Kluyveromyces lactis: one gene and its partner. The protein of the gene in region 2 interacts with the protein of the main gene of each other region in a pairwise test. Links are inferred from orthologs where the notes say so. Each region holds a gene or a part of one and is shown on either strand. Other genes may lie near its edges.

Region 1 (3,797 bases), on a different chromosome or scaffold from region 2:
TCAGAGGAAACTACTGAACCAATTAAATGGGTAATATTTCCGCCCACCTACTATCAAACTACAAACTGTAGGAATTCAGTTGTTGTTAGCGAAAAGGGCGTTAAATGGGAGTATCCCAGCTCTGGGCATCTTGAGCTTACTTCTACATGCGTGGAATAAGTCTGCGCCATGATAACCACAACGCGAACCATAATTGAACATGCCGAAATGTGTTTAAGAGCCCTTGTTTGCTGAGCTAGGAACCAAAAAGATAACCACAAATGACAAGAATACTTATCAACTGGACCATGTACTGAGGTCAAGTATAAAGTAAACCAACTTTAACCAAGTTTTGTATCCTTTTCTTTTGGTTCATCAAATTTTTCAGTAAACACCGGGTAATGCAGTGACAAGTTGCATGCTAACCATAGGTCTTATAACCGGAAGCAGGGCAGCTAAGGAAGATATAAAGGATATGCAGTTACATTTCCATAATGAATGGGGATAATAGACTGTGCAAACAGTGGATTTATATATATATAAGAGTTTAGGATGAATTTAGATAGTACTTACATTAATCGGAAAACATGGAAGCCTTTTTCTTACTCTTCTTGTTCTTCTTGTTATGCTTCTTACCATTTTCGTTGGCGACGGTTTGCTTATGGAAAGGGTTCGTAAGTCTGCCTTGAACACCGTTCAAATGGAAGAAATTTTTGTCAAGTTCATCAGCTACGTTGTACAAGGCTGCTTGTTTACCACCATGGTTGACAGATTTAGCTTGTACTTTATCACCATCACCACCAATATGAGCAGAGAACGTTAATCGACTTAAATCGCGAGCAAGATCCAAATCTTGTATACCTTTGTGTTTGGCAGCTTCTGCAAGTTGCTCTTGTCTGTTGATAGGTAATTTACTGAACGTGTATAAATCTTTGTTGAATTCCTTACATTCTTCTCTGGTATATGGCGTATCATCGTCCATGTGAGGCGGTGGATTAATGTACAGGAGTTTACCGTTCACATAATCTTTGAGAATGTAACGAGAGGCACGAGATTCATCTGCGGCACCAAAACCTTGTGTCATATAACCACGAGCTCTGGCATAAGCAACGAGTAATTCTTGTGCAGTTGGTACTTCACCATTCCCACCCTCTTCTACGGATTTGGTCTGAATATGGATACCGTAAATGGCTTCCAAAAAGTATTTAGGGACCCTTTCTGCCACTAATGTCGATGGCCCAATATAGTCACGTAACTGATCGATCGGTAGAACACCGTTACACACCAATTCACCTTTATTGTATGCAAAATTAGGGAAAACTAGACCTGGACAGTCGCATAACGTTACCTTATCAGATAACTTGATAGTTTGGAAATGTTTGGTCTTACCAGGGGTAGAAGAGACAGAAACTTTCTTGGCACCCACCAAGGCATTTATAGTGGAAGACTTACCAACGTTTGGATAACCCACTAGACCTATTTGTATGATTGGCTCTTGACCGGGCAATGGAGGAAGTAGCGGATCGTTTGGCGCTTTATCTAAGAACAATTCTTCAAGTTGATCGATCTTCAGTATGTTAATTTTATCCAGAATTTCTTTGTTCACTTCTTCCCCATCAAGTTCTTCAATTTCTTCCTCTGTAGCCAGTATTTCCTCATCGTCCTCTTCTTCAACGTATTCATCCCCTAGTTCCTCTTGTCTCTCTAATATTTCATTAGCCTTGGCAGCAGAAAAGAATGTAAAAGAGATGCCCCTCGAGAGAAGGTACTTGGCCCAAATAATACGTTGCTTTCTTGTTAATAAATCCGCTTTGTTGATCAAAAGTAAATTCTGTTTCCTGTCATCCACTTCTTTCACATATTTCTCTAAATCTGTGGATCTGAATAATAATGGATCTCTGGCATCCACGATTTGGACTACTAGATCACATCGCTCAACAACTCTCCACAACTGCCTCCAAACTTCAATGTTTCTCTCGAATGGAGTCAATAACAAATCCTCGTTGTCTTCTTGCAAATAGGCTAATTTACGTCTCCATTCCAAGAATGCTTCCTTTTCTAACCTTTCTAATTCAAATCTGGTCATAGATTCATTCCACTTAGGCCTTCTTGGGACAATCAACTCTCTAGCATGTAATCTCTGCTTCTCGTTGATCTTACTTTTCTGCTCATTGGTCAAACTAAATCCCTGGGATGTGGCTGCATCGGCACCGTTATCCATTCTGATGATCTTGACATTAGAATGTCTGTCCGCTGTGAAATCCTTGTCTGCTAACTCAGCAGTACTCAAAAATTCATCTAATGCAGATTCCTGAGTAACAGATCTCAATTTTACCCAATTAGCTTCGTGCTTATCGGTAGTGAAACGTTCTTCACCATCTGGCAAATACTGCACTTCATTTTCCTTACGTCTTGCAGTTTGAATTGCCTTACCTAACCCAATAGTGTTTTTATTCTTCCTTTGAATAGGCTTTGGACCCTTTGGAGGTTTCCACTTCTTTGTTGTTTCCTTTGGTGGCATGCTGCTAGTCCGTGTTGCTTGTAGACCTGCCGTTAACTGCTAAGATTGTTGTGCTGATGCTTTGCTTATGATGAGATGAGCTGGTTAACATATTAAAATTTTCCGCTAGTACGTAAAGTGTAAAAAAGAAATTGTGTGGTAAACCTGAACTAGAACAGATGGATGGCTCAACAATCTTTACAAAAGCACCCGCATGATGAGGATGCAGAGTACGACTCCAACATAGGTATTGCATACCACCTTAGAGGAGCGACAAAATTAGAAGTCAAGAGTTTCTGCAGAATGGAAGAAACTGCAGCTGATAAAAGGGTTACCACGCGTCTTCCTCCATGTTGCTTGTGTATTTTAAGAGAGAAATTTATCATTGTGGGTACCTATCTCTTGCATAAGGACTCAGGCAATCGAACTGGCTCTATTGAGGTTTATGATAAAGAATTGAACCTTCTTTCTAGCATAAAAACCTATGGGGCAATTTTAGATTTGAAGCTCAATCCATTCGATGATACTTTACTCGCAACAGCTCATTCAACCGGTAATATGATTCTGTGGACGATATCTGTCGACGATGATAATTCATCAATTGATATCAAACTATTGAACAACCTTCAAGTATTTGATCCCACATGTCTAATAACGTCTCTCCAGTTTTCTCCATTGCTGGATAATCTCGTACTTTTAACCACTACTAATGGGGATTTTGCTACTGTTGATATCATACATGGTGAAATATGCTTTATAGAGGAGGTGGAGCCATCGTATTTCGACTCCTCAACAATAAATTATATTGAGGTGCCAAATGCAGACATCAAAGTTATAAATGTTCAGAATGACCATGAACAAATCTTTCATTTCAAACATTCTTTGGAGTGCTGGACCGGCGAGTTCGGCTGTTTGGCTCCTTTGAAAGATGTTGTATTCACTGGTGGTGACGACTCTGCAATTGCAGCTCATGATTTGAATTCAGGCAAAAAGATCTGGTCCAATTCAAAAATTCATCAAGCTGGTGTTACGGCAATTAAGGCTGCTAGGGAGACATTTAGAGGCAACAAGCCAACAAGTTTAATCACAGGCTCTTATGATGACCATATACGATCCTTTGATCTAAGAATGCTCTCAGAAACCACAATATATCCAGGGACAGACGTCCCTGTGGTTAATAAATGGGAAGACAATTTACAGGGTGGTGTTTGGAGATTCTCGGAGGCCCCAACGAATGACGGACTGTCAAATAACAGACTTATGGTTTGTTGCATGTATAATGGTGCGAAGGTTGTCAACGTCCAAAACGATCATTTCG
Region 2 (2,882 bases):
CTTCCCATATGCGGCAAACTTTTCTCTTCTATTTGATGGTGTAGTCTTGGTGGAAATTCCTAACTCGTTCAAATATTCACGGTTTTCTTCGGGGGTAGCCTCTGGAGGTGGCTTGATCTTGAAGAACTTCTTAATACCCATGGTTTCACTACGGTAACAGCAACCTTTTAACCTTATTTGATCGATGTTCCCCTTTTACCTTGTCTTTACCTATCTAAAAATTGATGTTAAAGGAACTACAACTTTTCGATTCTTTTGTTTCATTTAAATTTAAAGGTTTCTTTTGGGTCCAGTAGTACTTAGTGAACCACGATGCACAAAATACAAAAGAAAGAAGGAAATAAACAGTATGGGGTTGATGCAAATGCCAAAGAGCAATCAAAATAAAAATTGTACTATACAGATCCAGAGATATACACCAATATTACATTAAAAAATGGGGCGATAATGGGGGCCAAAACGATATAAATGACAGAAGAGAGCGATTGTATCAATTCCTTTTATGAGTAAGTTTCGATCAAAGTATCACGCAAGTTACCAGAGATAGCTTCTGGTTGAGCGTCTTGTAGACGGAAGATAGATTCGATCACACTTAATTCTGGAGCGGTGGTATCTAGACCAGTAACTGCCAAATAGTCGTTCACGACCATACCAGCACCGACGACTTGCGAACCACGGTTCACAGTACCAGCAACTAGTGGGACTTGCAACAAAGAGGAAAGTTCTTCTTGGTCTTGTACTGTAGTCTGAGGATGCACTAGACCACCTTGGTTAGACAACGCACAATATGAACCAACAAGAACGTTACCCGAAATTGTTTGACGGAAAACTTCAACACCTAAGACATCGGCAATCAACTCCTCAGTTTCTCTGTCGATGTCTGGATGAACCAAAGCAACATAATCATTACAACAGATAACATTACCTAACGCAGATAATCTCTCCTCAACTCTTTGAACCTTCACAGCATCTGGCAAACAGTTTCTCAAATGTTGTAATTCTTGGTCGGTAGTTTGAGTTGGAACCAATAACCCTCTACGGTTACCAGCAGTCATACGACCAACAATCCTCGTACCTGCAATAGTGGTATGAGCAATAGGAATAGCATCTCCTAATTCGGCTTCAAACGCAGAATAAAAGTTCTCCGAACCACCAAGTGCCACCAAACAGTACGAGTTAGTTAGCTTCGAAAACACACCAATTTCGTTAGAATTCTCAAATTGTGTCCTAGTCGCCATAATTTCAGTTGATTTATCTGCAGTGGTATACTGGCGTAACAAGCAGAACTAGTGTTTATAAGTCAGAAGAACTGTACTAATTCAAGCCGAATCAACCATCCGCAAGATGAGATGAGATGAGCTTAGAAATTATCCAGTGAAATCTTTAAAATTTTCCATATTGCAGTGTTTTAAAGAAACGAAACACAAATTAGGTTACCCGGAGAAGAACACACATACAGTACTATATGGGTATCTCGTACCCTTATAGATGTATAAATTTGATCAGTGAGAGTTATCCAACAACCGTTCGAAGCTTAGACGAGAAATAGCTCTCCATTTCACATTCTTTCTTCTGATCACCAGACGATTCAACGCAGGGTATACCGTACACCTGAGCGTGTTTTATTTGTTACCCGCACTTGCGTCGAATATCTTCACTAAGTCGTCAATTTCCGACATTTAAACAGCTTCAAGCTGAAAAAGCGACACATTCACAACAAATATATTGACACAAAAGCATGTTGCATGTATCTAACCTGCAGTAAGTTACATTTACGAAAACATTTTAAAGCTGTTCGATCAGTGGCAAGCAATTCATAAGAATCAAGTTTCACTGAATCATTTTTCTCTTTCCAAGATGACTGATTGTAATAGTACAACGGAGCGCAGTTTGACGTCTGGATTGGAAGCAATGTCATTGAAGGCAATATCCCCATCGAAGTTGAATAGAAGGCATAAAGTCTCGAGCAAACCTGATAAATTGAATGAAAATGTCTGTTTGGATCGCAGAGCAGAAGTTTTGGTTAATACGGAAAATGAAATGCCAACAGAAATTGTCAGTAAGATAAAGAACGAAAACTTCCATTTGCAATTGGAATTGGAACAGAAGAACCATGAGATTTCCAAATTAAAGTCAATGCTCTTACCTAAACTGACACCACCTGCAATTGATCTAAGATTAACGACAAGTTTAAAAGACCCTTTGTACTACCATCCGGAAAGCAACAAAATTCCCGGTATGTCTGGGGCTACAGTGACAAATTCAGATTACGTGTCCCATTTCTCATCATCATCATACGATGGGAATAGAAATGACGTTAGAGAGACCTCAACCGTTGCTAGTACTACAATATCAAGAAAGGAAAAAAACCATATGTTGTTCACTAGGAATATTTTACCCTTTATTCGGGATTCCATCAACATGTATAAAAACTCCCATGTTTTAAATGAAGAAGTGGTCCCGATAGAAAAAGAGCTCGATAAGTTTTATGATAACTCCTTGAAGAAGGACGAAAAATGTGAAGTATTTTCTAATGTACTCTTAGGGTTACTCAGGGTACAGAGATTAAATATAGCGGCGTTGAACAGAGAATTAGAGTTGAAAACAGTGGAGAGAAAAATGGATTACTTGGCAACATTGTTTTTGGATCCACAAGAGTATGAAATACCACGTCATAGCTCCATGAAACGAATCAGAGATCAGATGTTGGATGTGATTATTTCTCTATATGGAGAATTACCAAATCCTAACCAAAGGGCAGCAAGAGAAATGAAATATCAGCAGCCACAACAGGTTCCTTTGAAGATAAAATCAGATTCAAAACTGAACCGACAGTCTCATAATCCTGAAATACTACCTATTGGTTATTCAAACTCATCTTC

Evidence for each region. The genes of interacting proteins can lie anywhere in the genome.
Region 1: the proteins of TIF6 (region 2) and LSG1 interact in binary tests that used the Saccharomyces cerevisiae proteins (3 or more experiments, as listed by UniProt). The link is inferred for Kluyveromyces lactis from reciprocal best matches to the Saccharomyces cerevisiae genes TIF6 and LSG1.

What each region holds. Positions count from the first base shown.
Region 1 is NC_006042.1:641,378-645,174, forward strand, and holds LSG1 (ribosome biogenesis GTPase LSG1), read right to left. Parts: upstream 2,501-3,797; coding exon 554-2,500; downstream 1-553. Other genes in the region: RRT2 (diphthamide synthase), read left to right, coding at 2,663-3,797. UniProt on the Saccharomyces cerevisiae protein: GTPase required for the nuclear export of the 60S ribosomal subunit. Acts by mediating the release of NMD3 from the 60S ribosomal subunit after export into the cytoplasm.
Region 2 is NC_006040.1:175,407-178,288, forward strand, and holds TIF6 (translation initiation factor 6), read right to left. Parts: upstream 1,239-2,882; coding exon 501-1,238; downstream 1-500. Other genes in the region: SEC9 (Sec9p), read right to left, coding at 1-141; KLLA0_D02068g (uncharacterized protein), read left to right, coding at 1,858-2,882. UniProt on the Saccharomyces cerevisiae protein: Binds to the 60S ribosomal subunit and prevents its association with the 40S ribosomal subunit to form the 80S initiation complex in the cytoplasm. Is also involved in ribosome biogenesis.